Drosophila melanogaster: one gene and its partner. The protein of the gene in region 1 interacts with the protein of each later gene in a pairwise test. Each region holds a gene or a part of one and is shown on either strand. Other genes may lie near its edges.

Evidence for each region.
Region 2: the proteins of CG43658 (region 1) and Pdk1 interact in a two-hybrid assay, tested with the Drosophila melanogaster proteins (one large-scale study listed by BioGRID).

The regions. Positions count from the first base shown.
Region 1 is NC_004354.4:17,555,811-17,565,206, reverse strand, and holds the start of CG43658 (uncharacterized protein), read left to right. Parts: upstream 1-4,026; 5' UTR 4,027-4,378; intron 4,379-9,396.
Region 2 is NT_037436.4:125,356-133,088, forward strand, and holds the start of Pdk1 (Phosphoinositide-dependent kinase 1), read left to right. Parts: upstream 1-4,094; 5' UTR 4,095-4,467; coding exon 4,468-4,533; intron 4,534-5,374; exon of another isoform or gene 5,375-6,216; intron 6,217-6,456; exon of another isoform or gene 6,457-7,175; intron 7,176-7,377; exon of another isoform or gene 7,378-7,439; coding exon of another isoform or gene 7,440-7,454; intron 7,455-7,733.

The DNA of each region.
Region 1 (9,396 bases):
CTCACATGCATGGATACACAGAAAAAAATATTAAATATTTTTATTATTCTATGATTAACTTTACATTTAAATACAAATTGTTTAATGCAGATTTTGAAATAGAATCAACACATTTTATCTGCAGAATTTTAAAGTTTTTTTTTTGTTTTAACAATTTAATGATCTTAATAATCTTTTAGAAAATGTAACCACAAAAATTCAGTTTAATGATAAGTTTATATTTATTAAATATATATTGTTCTATAATGTTTATGCCAGTGCAATGGCATGCATAAATAAATTTAGCAAAGTTAATTGGAATAAGGGAGTTGAAAGCGCTGTTTGCATGCTCCCAAAAAAAAGGGAAAACAAATTTCCAAATCTTTTGCTCTCCCTCCCACTTTTCCGTTTCCGAAAATGGTGCAAAAAGGGGAGAAAACAAACAAACAAACACTCACAAACTCTCTTCCGCATTCCGTTTGTGAGCTCTTGTGCACTTGATTTTCGATTTGCATTTCTAAAATGGCCCATAAAAGTGCTAAAACTAATGAAATGGCTTTGATTCAGTTGATGGCCATTGCCAGTTTGTAAAAATAAAAAACGAATTAAACAATTACGAGAAAGGTGTGGGCAGTTTTATCAACGGCGATTCACTTAAGTTTCAGCAGGAAAACCTTTTAGGCCTTGGCACTAAAAATTAAGCTGAAGATACACAGGACGTATACGTAATATAAGTAACGACTTTTGAAAATGTACCTAATCATTAAAATCATTAAAATGTATGATCGTGATCATTAAGCAGAAGTTTTCTTTACGTATGCTTGATATTTAATTAACTTTACAATTCGTAAATTTTCTTTTTTACTACGTACAATTATATTCCACAACACCACCGGGTTAATAACAACCATTATTACGCTTGGCTGCATCTGCTCAAAAATTAAATAAAAAACGGAGCTAGCAGGGGAAGTATAATAAATTCAAATAAACTCACGAGGACAATGGCAATGGTTGAAATGTGGCCCGCGGATACGCAATGTGCCACAGGCACCGGAACCGGAAGTTCTGTACAGTGTGTACCAGGACCAGCTTAAAAACAAAAAAATATATATACGAAGAAAAAGAAAATGCCAAACACCCCGCGAAACATGGCGGCAAACAAATGAGCAGACGGCGGTGGGCGTGGCGCCTTCTGACAGGCAGCTTAATTAAGATGGCCAGGATAATGCAGAAATTAAGACACAAAATGCCACGAGAAGGACGAGCAAAGTTTTGCCAGACGCGAAAGTTTTCCCAGCCAAACGAAGACATATCAGACCGGATTTTCTCCGAATTTCACGAGCCACTTCGATTGGAAAATGCCAGAATCACGAATCATTTGATAAATTTATTGAACTTTGTCCTGCAGGCGCATTGCACACAAATGTAGCCGATAACTTTATGGTTTTCCATGGGAAATACAAGAACTATTTTATTTAAAAAGAGGAAAACGGAGAGGTTATCTCAAATGATTCAAAAGTAGGTGTATCTAAAGGGTCTTGCTGTATTTTGTTTTTCAGTTTATAGCTTTAATGATCTATCTAGCTTTTTCGTTTTAGTTTTATGACTTATATAAATTTTCATGTAATTTTCAGTAGTCTTTTTTTGTAATTGATTTATTTTCAGATCGGTTTAAGCCACTTTTGCATCACTGGTTACGCCGACATCCTGGCAAGTGCTTCTGTTTCCGCTGCGTCTTTGATTGCATTCGACTTTTGGCTGCAGTTCAGGCGCCTCTATCCCCTTAAATCCCTTCGCCACCCCACTTTTCCACCCACTCGACGACAACAATATTGTCCTTTTGGCTGAAATCAAAATGCTGGAAAGTTTTAGCTGGACAACGTAAACATAAAGTAAATGCAGTGCCAAAAACAAAAGTCAAGTCCACTCCGAGTGTCCAACTGCACTTTCTGTGTGTGTGAGTATCTGTGTGTCCAAAGTATCTGTGTGTCCAGAGTACCTCTATATGTGTGTTGGCTTGTTGATGCGTGTGCATGTGATCTGCTGGCTGCGATTAGAAAATGATTTACACCTCTGGCTGCAAAAAAAGAGAATTCAGGATAAAAGATGGGCCTTACAACGTCTGCGAAACTGGTTGGAAGAAGAAGCTGATGTTCTTCTCCCTCTCCTTCATCTTCTTGTTCTTGGCCAGCTCTGCTTCTTCCCAGTATGCAATTACACATTTTATTATTATTAACGTTAATGTCGCCCATGGGAGGGCACTAACGCCCGGCTCCACATAAAAGGCGCTTATTAATAAGAAATTGCAATAAACTACAAGACACAGCAGAACGTACAGCAATCCGTTGCTACACTACAAGAATTTTGCATATGTGCTATTTCGCGCAAGAAAATGTAAACTGAAATTAATACATTTCATTTCGCAGAACCATTTTTAATTATTCTTATACGTTCTTTATTTTTATATATTAATTATTCATTTAAGTTATATATGAGTAAATTTGTAATGCTTTTAGACGTTCAAGGCCACACTTTTTTTAAGTGCATTCCGGTACGCTGGCGCTTAAAGGAGCAACAGCTGGCGTATGAGTGAGAGGCCAGACGGTGGGAGAGGGGCACCGAAACAGAAGAGAGTGTGAGAAAGGGAAAGAGAGATCCCAGCCGGCGAATGCGCGGCAAAAACAAAAGGCAACGGGAGAAGCTCGGCGAAACAGCTGGCGAAGAAAGTCGCTCTCTTTGGCTTATCTCTTTTTAACCCTCTTCTGCCTGCCATTGCTTTTCTTAACCCTTGCGTATCCTTGTTGAGAGTAAATCAAGCGCTCCACATATTTTATTAAGTTGGAAACCAGTAATAAAGTAGGAAGCTCGCTGCCAGCTGCAGCTCACACACACACCTACACGCACACACTAACCGATGCACTCTTCTCCGGCGCTGGGGTTGCTGTTGTTGCACTGCCTGCTGCACGCGCGAAAATGCTAAGTTGCCAGGAGCGGATTCAGTTGGTTGGCTGCATATATGACAACCAACGAAGATTTTCTAACTCAGTATTAGTTAGACCATCATTTCGAGAAAACAGAAAAGTATAAACTTTTTTTCCGTATCATCGCAGTTATGAACCAAGCAGACTTAATTTTTTTTGTAACAAAACTAATAGATCGGCTTAGATTGATGAACTAACAAAATTAATCAGGTAACCGTATTCCCATAAAACATTGCCTACTTTTTCGGGCATTAGGTAAACTACAATATAAACTATACCCTGCACCGTTTTGAAAGTGATCCGCACCTGTTCTGAAGCATTTTCTGCTCTCTCCCTCGCTTCCCTTCTTCGATCCCACTCTTCGTAGAGGCTCAAAACGTGCGCCTAACAAAATGCCGGTTTAAGTTTTGCGTTGTTTGGCGTATACGTAATGCAAAAGGAGAGCGAGAGTAGTGTGCCGAAAACGAGAGAGTGTGTGAGAGAGCGGAAAAGAGCGCGCGCGTCGCTAGTTGCTTTTCGTCTGATTGGAACTCCAAACTCCAATTCCAGCTCCAACTCCTACTACAAATACAACTACAGCTCCACTGCATCAGCATGTTGTTGTTGCTGCTTTAGCTGTTTTTTGTTTTTGTTTCATCTGGCAGTTCTTGTTCCTTTCCTTCTGCACTCCATTCGCACACTAGCTCAGGTCCACAGCAGCAGTCAAAGCAATAGCAGCTACAACTGCGCAGCTATTAAATGTTTTCAAAATACCAAAGTTCTTAAAAAAATATGTATACTAATTATGTTTTTTTGATAAAATAATGTTTAAGCTATTTCAAAGATTGAAACCAATTTTATGGTTTGTGATGTGCATTGTTAAATTAAATTACTTACTTACTTACACTTACTTTTTAGCAATACTAAGTTCACAATAAACGTCGCTTCCATTCAATCATTAACTTAAAACAAGCTCTAAGCCATTTGGGCATTAATTCTTTTTCCGTGCCTGTGGCGAGCAAACTGCATTTGCGGCACTGCCGGCGTCGTCGACGTGGGGACGTCGCTGCGTCCGTGGGATTCGGCCGCAGTTGGATTTTGGTGCTGCTCGCGCGAGGACGTCTCCTCTCCTTAAACTTCTGCTGGGGCTCTCTTCGAAGAGAGCGCTAATCCTGCGAAGAGCGTCGTTTTTAAGTCGCGATCAGAAACAACAGTAACCACAACCTGGTGGCCAGCAATTCTTACCAGTTTTTAGAAAGAGCCACGAAAAAAATGAAGTAGTGTGAAATATTATATTTTCATTTTGTGTGTGCGTGTGTGTGCGGTTTTCCTTTAATTTCGTTACACTTCTTTTTTTTTGCGATTTTTGTTTATGTGCCAAACTAGTTTCGAGTTCATTGAATTTGCGGCGCCGTTGTCAACCGATCGTTGCTGAAAACGTAAGTGCAGCTTTTTAAGTAGCTAAGGATGCGTTTGCCGCAGGACATTTGCGGTCACGTGGCAGCTGCCGCCACCTGCGAAAACCGCAAAACGAAAAAGCCGCCAAAACATTAGCACTTGAATGGAAAAGTATTTCGCAAATTAGTTAAATAAGGGTTATAAAAGTGGCAGAAAAAGTATTTGTAGTGCACCAAAATTGAATATTTTTTTCCTTAGAACTGGAAGCGTTGTCTGTGTTTTTTAAACAATAATTGGCATGAAATTTCAAAAAATCGAAAATCATATACTTGACCGAAAAAAAAAGAAAAATATTACGTGAATTTATTTTATGTATATTAAGTTGTAACTTTAGGGCTTAAATCGCGATATAAAGTTTTCACATATTATATTTTCTGAACATCTCTTTTTAGACACTTTCTTAAAATACAAATAAATTTCAGAGTTGTCAATTTTTGGGTGAGAGCAGGTTTCCCCTTTTTAGCAGACTCACTACATACATTTATATTAACAACAATAACTTGGCTCTTTTGTCTCACAAGCAATTGGCTCGAAATGTTGTCGCGTCGCCCTTAGCTGTATCCTTTGTTTGGTCCTTGGCCATTAGGATCCCTTTTAATTAAGATGAATAACTTGCAGTTTTTATACGCCACAGAAATCGAAATTTCATCGCCGGCATTTGGTTGTTGCTTTATAAAGAGCTTTAAAACCAAACTTTTAAAGCATGGAAATAATTTAGTTTTTGTCGAAATACGTTAATAAACCTTCAGATAAGATTTACTGTTTGTTTATTTGTTTGTACAATTTATTACTTTGTCCATTTTTTTTTTTACTTTTTGTTGTACTTTGCTAGAAGTTTCCATCTCAAAGCGTTAAGTTTTTCTAGCATTTTGGCACAGCTTAAAAGTTGGCAAGTGCCAAAAGTTCAAGCGCGCTGCTCACCTTTCAATTAGCCGGGAATTCAGAGCGAATCTAATTAGTTGGCCAACATGGTGGTGGAAAGTGACGAGTCCTCTGATTTCCTGGCTCCCTGATTGCTTCCAAAAGCTGATCGATCATCAAAAGACACAACCGCCACGCAAAAAGGTAGCAAAAAGTAAACAAACTAAAAATCAAGCTACCGAAACAAAAAATGTACGAATTCTGGACTGTCGAAATGTTTTGGCAGTTTCAGCAGGGTGCTGTTAAAAAATGAATTCAGGAATTTCAGAAGTGTGGCCAATCATCAAACTGAATGAAGAAAAAAGTGCCCCTTTGGTTGACTCTTCCTGTTACATTTCACAAAGAAACATAAACGAATAGAAAGGAAAGTTGTATATTATAATCTTAGATATATTAACCGATAAATGTCAAAAATGTGTGTGTGACACGCAGTAAAGAATGTTAAATTGAATTAGGGGAAAAAGTATTACAAAAAAAAAAACAAAGTTCTTTGAATACCAGTTCATTACATTTTTTGTACATTACTTGACGAATGTAAGGACCTTTTAAGCAACCGAAAAATGCAAACAATTTGAGCAGCCCTCCGCTGATTTCGCTTATTAACTAAAATAAATCCGTCCAAACGGAAAGGTGCAGAAGGACAGGGCCGTTGGCCAAGTGCTACTGGCCAACTAGCTGACCATTTCCCTGTTTTGCCTTTTTTTTGTGTTTTTTTTTTTTTGTTAGCCTAGCTGCTGCTGCTTTATGTTTGCCTTTTATTTTGGCCACAAGTTCTAGTTAGTACGAGGCGGACGAAGGCGAGTTCATAGAGCCAAAAGAACCGGTCTTGGAAAGTCGTCTAAATGTTTCTCTTACCTTCGGGCACTGCAAGAAAAAACTAATTACGAAATAAGAGATATATAAAACATTTGGTTTAATGTGATCAGACCATCACGGTAGATTTAACTATCTTGGTGCGCTTCGTCACAACGTGGACTGCAAGCCTAAAAGATTTCCTAATCAGTATTACCTAACTATTAAAGTCATGATAAATGAATTAATGAAAATGAGGATGTGCTTCTCGAAAACCAGACTCGGCATGAAGTTCCCATGCTTTTTTATCAGTGCACCTTTTTATCCCCGTCCAAGTCGAAGTCCGAGACTTTTCGATGTCGATGCTGAAGGCCCACTAAAATGTCTGGCTGTGTGAGTGTGCGAGTGTGTAGTGGCTCCTTCCACGGAGTATTCATTCCCAGAGGAATGTGTTAAAGTGTCTAAAGCTGTTTGCCTTCCCCCCGAACGCGCCCCCCCCCTCCCCCACCTCAACCATCCATCCAAATCGCCAAATAGAAAATTCTGAACTCGAGGAGCAGCATAAAATACAAAGCCGAACGCATCAGAATGGCAACGGCGATTTATAAGATAGTCCCACAGAGCGCAGAGGAAAAATAATATCAAATATCAGGGCTTAATTGATTTTTTTCTTCGCCTTTTTACCCCTTTTTATAATGGATCTGACTCATTTGGTAGAGCTTATAAGTTATATAAGCATCATAAAAAGTACATGAAAGCTTTTTAATGCATCAAAATGTTTTTAAAATATGAATTTGCTATATGTGCTCCAATAATCTGTTAAATAGTAAAGTTAATTGCATGTGATTGCTGTTACAAAATGTTGTAATAAAATAGAGAAGGATGTACAAGGCTAAATTGCTACCTTAATATATAATAAAACATACAAGTTCTTAAAAAAAAAACGAAATCTAAATATTGGGTACCTCAGTTTATAACAATCTAATTAACTCCTGAAGAGTGAAATTAATCGCAACTAGTCGAAAAAATGTGCAGGACCTGAAATCATTATGGGCTAAAATTTAAGCAAATTGAGTTTGAAGCTGCCTGCTTCCCAGTTGATTCTCCTTCGCTCTTGCCTTGTTTGATGATGACATAGTATTTGCCCAAGTTAATGGGAAAATGGGAAATGAGTTAGCTGTGGAAAGGACAGTGAGTGGCGAAAATGTAATGCTGTCTGGGCAAAAATAACAGTTGCTCTGCATATTATTATTTTTTTGTATACACTTATTAATTCTCAAGGCAATAAGAACGATAATAGCTACAGTGCGTCACAAAATTGTAATTGGAATTATATTTCAATTAGCTTCATAGATTCTCAAAAATGAGGACTTTACATATTTTCAGAAATTATGAATTTTACATGCAGTAAAGACTAACATTATTTGTGGGCAATATACTTATGGCTGATACCTTGCAGCTCCTAACCCTAGGCCTTAACTAGATCCTCTCCCCCGAACGTCCCTCGATATTGAACGGGTTCTAATGGAGTTTTTAAATAAGTAATCACTTGCTGTTGTTGGCGGGCAAGGAGTTTCGTCAAAGGCAAAAGGCGACTGGTTAACGGTTAAAGGCGAATGCAAACATAAGCCCAGACATTGCCACGCCCCCTTAACCCTGTAGTTAATTAGAATTCCAATACTTCTGATGTAGTTAATAAAGTCTCAAAACGCAGTTGGTCATTTTATCTTTATTTGGTTTTTATTAAGCGAGTCTACATTCCAGATCTATTCCTGATTTATAACTGATCTTAGTGTGGTCTACAGGCAGATCTCTTGTGACAGCCAAGTGCTGACACTAGCAAATTCTGCAATATGTATGTATGAAGTTCATACTCGATAACCAATGGGAGTCGAGTGCGACCCCTAAAGGCGTACATGCTGAATTCGCATATTTAGTATTAGGGTGTATCTAAAGATCTACTAGGGTGACCCTAAGGAATTAGGGTGGTCCTAAGTTTACTTATTAGTCGACTTATTATTATGATTCATATTATAATTATTATTAATATTATTATTATTATTGTTATTATTATTGTTATTATGTTCGTATATACTACAACCCTTTGACTGCGCCCGCCTCCGCGCAATTTACAGGTTAACATGGGAACAAAGAGAAAAAATCGAGCACAGGAAACTCGGACCCTAATTGATTGTTAACTCGTGTGTGGTTCGCAATATTTTTTTTTGTTGCCTCTTGCTTCCCCTGAAAAATTGAGTCGCTGAAAATGCGGGGGAGTCCCCTGCAAGACCGCCCAACCCTCGCACAAAGACCGAAACCACCACAACACCCTCCTCCCACCCCCGCAATTATGGCTTAAAAAGTGTTGCTGGCATTTCGGGCCGAACAACTGCAACTGCAAAAAATAAAGGCCATAAGTAAACCAATTAGTCGCCCGGCAGTCGTAAGCTCAGTTTGCAGTGCAACTGTCGCCATCGCTGTCACTGCCAGGGGTACTCTAACCCCCGTGACCCCTCCAGCGCCCACGCCGAGCTCAGCCCCCTACCGCCGCCCAGTTGCAGAGTTGGCCAATTGGCTAGGGACATTTTTGGGGTTTTTTTTTTTTTAATTTTAAAAAACAGAAGTTGGAACTTTTTCCATTTGTTGCTTGATTAAATTAGTTTCTTGATGTATTTATACAAATAAATATATAAACATACTAATATGTAAGCATATGCTAATCAACTAAATCTTATTCTTTTTTTTATATATTTTTTTTTATTTATTTTAAATTGTGACATATTCTTACTGTTTCGATAAATCTATGTAATGATCAACAATGCGTATGAGTGATAAAGCCCATGCTTCATAGATTCAGCAAATCGACAGTTGGCAGCACTGAAACTCGAATCTGCCGCACCAGCAGCTCTTAGTGAAAATGCGGCTTTCGTATTGTGTAGTGTTATAAGCGCATTTGACTTTTTGCACAACGCAAAGTTGGCGGAAGCCTGGTGGCAAACCCCCATAGTTCGGGGGGGCTAACAAGCCCCCCCATATAAACGAGGAACAGAACTGGCTAAGACTTTTTGTTAGTCAAATGGATTTGTATTTCATTGTTACATTTTCATCAACATAATCTGTATGAAATCAGTATGCTTAAATCCATTTATAATCTAGATTGTATAAAAATATTTAATTTACTGCTCAACAAAATATGCTGTTTTTTACTTTAAACTACTAAAATGTAGACCGTTACCTGCATTTTAAAGGAAGTTTGAGCATTTTTTAGTGTCTCACTGTTAAAAAT
Region 2 (7,733 bases), on another chromosome or scaffold:
TTTGTTTTGGTTTTGGTTTCAGCTATTCAGCTCCGTTATTTAAGCGGTGACCGCAGGGCAAGTGCAACTCAGTCGTCTTCGGTCAGCGGCCGCTGCACTTGAACATGAAACAGCCGCAAAAAGCTTAAAAGCTAAACCAAAACCAAATCCAAATACGAATCAAAAAACCAAACCCAATATAAAAGCAAAGTTCTGTGTATGTCAATTTCCAAGCCGTGATACGTTGTCACCTGATTGGTACGGGTCGCACTTGCTACAAGCGACTCTGGCTATGCGAAAGGTAAGTGGGTATCTAGTATTCATAGGCGGAAAGGACAGAGGTGAGCGACAGAACAACAAAGCACATGGCATCGCCCACTCGCGCCCACAAAGAAAGGTCGTATGTTGTCTGCATTGGGGCCGCTGTTTTGCGCTTATGCTATTGCTCTTCCTAGCGCTGAACTTGAACAATAGCGTCGCACCACGCAATACCGTGCACCAAAAAAGCACAGGTGTAGCAAAATGTTCCCCAAAAATGGGAAAATGCAAAATGTTATAAAGGCCTTTGAAAATAATATAAACAACATTTTTGCTTTCGCTTAAATTCAATAAATTTTCAATAATAATATATTACAAAATTATATTAGGGCCAGGTTCTGGGACGCCTTTTTTCATAGCACGCACAAATGAATAAGAAGACGCCATACAAAAGTCTGCCTCTTAAGTACCTAGGGGCACCCACTGCACTCCTTTCTCTCTTTGCTGCGACGCAATTGGAAAACATATTCATGCAATCATCAATTGCGCTTTTGCCGACGAAACAAAAAAACACAGAAATTTACGAAGGGAAAACTACGAACTGGAAATGCCCTTAAAGGGGGCAAAAAATTAAAAAACTTAATTCATTACTAAATTCCGAGCGTAGGACTATGCAAGGGGCATTTTGAAAAGAGGAGAGTACTTTAAAATAATAATGCTAAGCTACACCGATAAGAATTCTAATTTCCAATTAAACTGTCAATAACGCCAAACTAATGCATATGCAAATGTCATTATTGTGCGAAGCTTTTATGACGAAAGCCAGGTGCATTGATTCGTTCTCGGAGAATTGGCTTATTTTCACCTGGCATCTGGTGGCCCTGACACACGCCCCATTAAATAGCCACTCGAGCCGGGCTGAAAGAAGAGTGCCTGAACTACTGTAAGGCGCACTTGTCGTGTTGCACGTGAATCGAGAACGTGGGAACGGAAAAGTCGAGTATCGCCGTTGAGGCGCCATCCGAAAATTATTCATTGTTTTAGCTGCAGTCACCTGTTTGTCCTCCTGACCGCCTGTGCCCCTTCCTCCTCTTCCACGAAAGCAAAATAATTTATAGAAAACGACCGTTTAGAGTTTTAAATAAACCGTTTGAGGTAAGTTGGTGGTCGCATTGCTTCTGCTCCTTTTTAATTGACCATTGCGAATTCGTTTGGCGCCAATTTTATTTTCACGCCGCCTGGCGCCACACGCGGCGTTTGCGCAATGTACACCGGGCGAAAAATGGGAAAAGTGAGTGGTATGTGTGAAACTCTCATTGATTTGTTTTCTGTCACTCCTATTCATTTTTGCTTTGGTTGTTGTGTCGGGCACTCGACTGGACGGGTGTTAATTAAATTATGGCTTTTAATTTAATTGTTTCTGTTCGACATGCGCATTCATTTATAATCGAATTGGATCAAAATTCAAAGGGGAAACGAACAGAACTTTATTATTTTATCGTCCCGTGGGAAAATGAGCGAATGGAAACTCAAAAAGCAAAATAATAGCGGTTCTGTTGCTTTATATTTGGCAAATATTTAAATATTAAAGCCTTTCATGTTGAGATGTTCATGTTCAGTTTGGATTGCACTTACATTTAGGATCTTCACTTCCCCTTTTTAATTTCATAAATTTTCACATGTCAAATGGTGGCTTGGTGTGGAAATGAAAAGCTAAGTGAAGAAAATGGTCTTGGCTGGTCCCAAGCATTTTTTAAATTTATTTCATAAGGCAACAGAAAAAAAATTTCCCCAGCCCATTTTGATGATTAAAACGACATATTGCGCTGCCCTAACACGCTATCACAAAACCGTACCCCACACCACTATTTGCTAATAAATTAAACAAATTGAGGACGAATCGGCGGGTCCATTGATGTGTAACTCTGGGATACCGACGGGTTTAATAATGGGCAACTAAATGAGAGCTCCGAGGGTTCCGAACCGGTTCGTCTGCCAAGCTTAGCTTCCAAGCGGGGGGAAGTCCAGCAATTAGAAAGAAACTGGTGCACAGCCCACCGTTGATGACTAAATCAGCTGGGATTTCGTGAAATTAGCTTTTTATACTAAGCGCTTGGCTGAAAATATATGCAAATGGGATTTTAAAAATATTTTTCAGGCGACATTGTGTCTCGCCGAACCTCGATTGCTGCCCATTAAAAATGCTAATTTCAAATATTTTTTAGCAGAAAGCAAGAAATAAATTAGCCACAAAATGCTAAAAGCAGAGGCCAAATAAAAACGATTTTAACTAAGCCACCGAACTCGCTAAGGGTGAGACAAATTAAATTGAATTTGATTATTATATAAAATAAAATAGGTAAGAAGAAAATTCGCGACCATTTCTAAAATATGCAGTCAAAGTTCATTCGATGAAGACGAATTGTAATTTTCATAGATTTATTTGAGCCTAAACGCCGTTCAGTTTGAATGAGTGCTTATCACAAGTACACAAAAACTAAAGAAATATTACTTATATTGCTAATTGATAAGGTCTTTGAATATTAAATGTGTTTATTAAACTGTGTTATTTAAACTACGCAGCAATTCACAAGTAAGTCTTTAAACAAATTAAGCTAGGAAATTTAAATAATACATAAATGGAAACTCAACCAAATATAGAAAATAACAGGAATAGAACTAATATTTACAATATTTCTTAACAAGATAAAAAACCATAACAGGAACAGAACTAATATTTACAATATTTCTTAAAGAGAAAAAAAAACAAAGTGAGAGAAAAACTTGATGACGAAAGCGTCGGCATCCACGTCAGCAAAGCCAAAGCAACTGCAGTTTCCGCTTCCCCTTAATTTTGTTTTGTTTTCGCTTCGTAGTAAAACGTAAAAACGAGAATAAAACCGTGAGCGGGAGCGGGAGCAGCAAGTGAATTTTTTCACGCTGGGTGGAAAAGGCGCGCGAACGTGACGGAACGCCGGAAAGTTGTGGAACAGGCGATGTGAATGAATTGTGGAACGCGTTTGTGTAGAAGGCCTTACACTTATGCTAATGTGGAACCCAGAGTGCGGATCAACGAACGATCCGTGCGCGAAGAGAGCGGGAATAGTTTAAATTCCAGAAAATGCACATTTGTACACATACATACATACATAATTGCCTTGGAAGTTTACGACAGCGACGTTGTCCACAATTTCATTTTATAGATGGGGGCGTGGCACTGATGCATGATCTTGATGGAATTATGTACCTATGTATGTATGTATGTAAATGTAAGCAAGATTCGTTGCAGTAACAACAAATAAGTGGATGAAAACAAGTGCGTCACTTACTCATTAATAAATAAATAATTAATGGGCGGCGCATTCGAAATGTAAAAGAAAACGCAAATAGCTTGCCCACTCGCGGCAATAACGGAACCGTGACTTGCAAATCGGTGAAATGAATAGGATATGCATAACTGTTTTTTCGAAAGACCTGCAAATAATTCAAGAAAGTTCCAGAAATACCCAAATTTAATAGCTATCCAACATTAGGGTGACAATAACGTGTTTCAACAGATGCAATATATACGCAAAATCAAAGAAAAACAAACAAAACCCGTTAAAAACTAATTATTTAAAAAAGAATACAAAAATATAAATTTAAAGCTAACTTAATAAAAAATAACATAATTTTCCCATTATTCATGTGTCGATTAAAACTCAAATGAAAATTCTTACACTTCTCCGCACTCTTTTTTACCCCATAACTCTCTATCTCTCTTCCAGTTCTCCGCGCTCACGATTTGGTAACTGTGGCCCAATGCCGCCGTTCCCAGTTTAGCGCGCTCTCCTTGCCTTTTCTTTCGCCTTTTCGACTCATTTCGAATCGGAAATTTGACGGGTTCGGTCGTAATCACGGATACAAATTTGACGCCCTGTTGGAAAAACCACAACGTCCAATTTTCCTTTTATCGCGCCAAAAAGAAATGCGAGTAAGACCCGAGTCTTCGTGTATACGTATAATTACCATTTGCAATCACAAAGGTTTTGCAACTGTCGCCGGGCGGTGAAAACTCAAGTGAATAAATATCGCAAAGTGAAGCAAATAAAAAAATATTACAAAAACCGGTAAAACGAAATGAAACTGAAATGAGTGAGGGCAGCAACTTCAAGTGACGAAAGCAATCCGTTTACCGTTGTCTTTGCCTCTTCATCCTCCCCGAGAACGGCGGAGAACGCGAAAAATATCATGAAATGTAAAAGCTGGTCCAACAAAATTAACAACTACGTTGTGCGCAAAATAAAGTCTATCAAGGTAAATAGTGTCTTAAAAAGGTGCGGTGTTTGGCCCTGATACATATATACTTATATTTATTTAAATTTTGATTAAGTGAATATATCTTATGAGGCTTATGAGACTTGTTAAGGTGTTAAAAAATAAGTTTATAGCATAGATATGGGGTAATGCGAAAGTACAATTTGTTAAAGTTGTTTTTAATTAAAATAATTTAGTAAAACTTTTTTTACAAACTACAAGTAATGCTTTCGAGAAAATACCTCCCATCAATTTTATCGTTAAATTACACAAAATTGTTCTTGGAAAAAAAAATTGAATTGGTTGTACAAATTTTTGTTTACAAAATACAAAAGCTGCAAAATAATTTATTGACATGAAATAATGAAATACTCATAAAGCTGTGAAATTTAATGTTTGAGCTATATAGCAAAAAAAAAAAGTATTTTTACTTTTTGCAATTCTTGTTACCAATAAATTTAAATATTTCCGTACATTTCATCTAAAAAATTTCCATTGACAACACATGCTGGTATAATATATAAAGATCAAAGCCATAAACTCCTCACTAAGTGGGCAATAAAATAAGATAATTCAACGACTGTCTGTATAACAACCACTTTAAAAGCTATCTAGATGGAGTTGATTATGAATACATTTTCAGATGCTTATATTACTCGACATAAATAGGCAGTGGATGTGTATAATTATTTTGCAGGCACCCGACAACGAAAATAAAATGCATAAAAAAGTTTAATGAAGCCGCAGGGGTTGACTAAATTTATTTAACAACTGCAGTTCATTGCCTCGCAAATTGCTTGATACTTTAAAAACAACAACAAAAATTCACAGCAAAAAAACACAATGATTCCAGCTGGTTTCTAAACAACAATTTATTGTGGTTTCTTTTACTTTTAATTGCTATCTATTAGCAGCAACCAATAAATGAATTATTTATTTTATTTTCTCTTGCAAGCAGCCAAAAGTAAAATTATGCCCCTCTCTCTCCCGATCCGAGTTCATCACTTTGTCTTCTTTTAGCTGTTTTTATTTTGCAAATAACTTGAGTAGTGGATGGGAAACAACGCAAAGGCCTTTCACTTGCATGTCTGTTGCTCGGTTTGTTGTCATTAGGTTTACTGTTGTTGTTGCACACACTCATCCGCTTACATACCTCGTTTATATACTTATTTACATTTGAAGTTGCCGTCGTTGGTATGTTTTACTACGTATCAGCTTGTCCGCTTTGAGCTGCCCCTTCGCTTTTCAAGCATTTTGTTTTGTCCGCTCTGTTTTTCAGCTATTCCAATTCTCTTCCTTCGTTGCCCTGTGTATGTATTCGTAATCGGGTTCGGATTCTTGTTTATTTTTACACCACTTCTCTTTCTCTTTCGCACGAAAATTCCTCGAATTCTTTTTTATCCATATTTTCCTTTTCCAGCGGGAAAAACGAGTTTTTCCAGCAGCGCCGCATTCTTAGCCTGTCGCCTTGTCTCTTTCCCACTTTTATAGTGTCTCCGCTTCTTGCTTGTTTACAGTTAGGAATGCGGTCGTCTCCCCTCTCTCTCTCTCTCTCTCTCTCTCTCTCACTCTCTCTCTTCAAAAAGAGCGTGCGCTCTCTTTGGCCTTATGTAGTTGTGTGGATTTCGACTGAAACTTGTTTTCGCTTTGCCCCGTCGTGTTTATTTATAAAAAGTCACTGGCAAACAATTACAGTGCAACAATTACGCTCTCAAAAGTGGCGCGCAACTTGTTCGCCTTGTAAAAAAAATTGTGACGCCAGCGGCGACACGACTGCGCTGCTTTGGCCCCATTTAACTGAGAGCGCCGAGGGTTAGCTTGGCGGGGGCGGCAACGCCAAAGAGAGTTCTCTCGGGTGGCGCTCGTCTCCCATCGGTTTCGCTGCTCGAGCCAAATGCTTGGAAGTCAAAGTCTCGCCCGACCATAGTTTCTTATTGGATTTCAAACCAGTCGCTTCGTGCACGCGGCGTTCGACTACGCACACACACACACCCATAGCGCGCTGGCATTGATATACATACACAGGCAAATACACGACGCCCCAAGTTCGTGTGATGTAGTGCTGTAGTGGTGCGATTAAATAATACTCCACAAAAGGCCAAATAAATTACATAAAATCTAAATCGGAATAAAAATAAGTGTATTCTCCCTCCGTGTTGTGTTCAAAGTATTTAACCGATTGTTTTCATTAGTCAAATTAATGTAGTACAACGTATGAGTGTGAGCCAGTTCCTAGAAAAATAAGAGGGCATAAAAAATAACAGACACATACAGCGTCTCGTTTCTTATAAATTTTCCTACTGCGTCGGAATTATTGTCTTGATTATTGTTGTTTCTGGCGAACTTTTGTGATTTGTTTCGAGAAACATACTGCGGCGGTTTCATAATTGTGCAAATCAAGGGAAGCACAATACGAATGTTAAGAATCAAAGCTAAGAATTAAATAAAATTAAAGCCGCACACATACATATACACAGGCACGCGCAGAGTCGAAAAAATACGCGCGCTCGCTCTGTACAGTGTGTGCGTGTACGCGGTGGCTGGCTCTTCTTCTTCATTCGTGTGCCCATTGGAATTTGTACCCCAAATCGAAATTACAACATAGACAAACAAAGAGCGCCCGTCTGCCCCAGCACCTAAACGTAAGTGTGTGCGTGCGAGAGTCGTTTCATTTGCATTCTTGTTTAGCGCACTCCCGCTCTCTCTTCGTGCGTTTTTCATTCATAAGCACATTTTTACTATTTGGAACTGCAATTTTTTACACTAAGCTTGAGGACAGACAAGAATACTGTGAAAATCCAATGTAGATGAAAGCAGGCCGTGCTTTTTCCATCAAAGTAATCGCAAAAAGTCGAGATTAACACAAGTTCAAAATTATTCGTTAAATTTTAGAACAGAATTTTGAAATGAACATAATTCAGGTACTGTGTCATCCACATATAAAGAACTTTTATTCTAAAAACAAATAATCGTCCGATCGGTGTGGTCTGTCCAATAAAAATTCACGGCAAAGGCGTTGGCTAAAAATACAAAGACAAACGAGTCGGGTAAAAAACAAATAAATGATAAAAAAGACTAAACAAATTTCGCGAATTTTGTATTACTGTGAATTGTATGCTTGGTGATGCACACTGCTATCTAGCAGCATTATAAACTTTTCGACCAAAAGCTGTTGAAACGCAACGATAAAGATATTATAG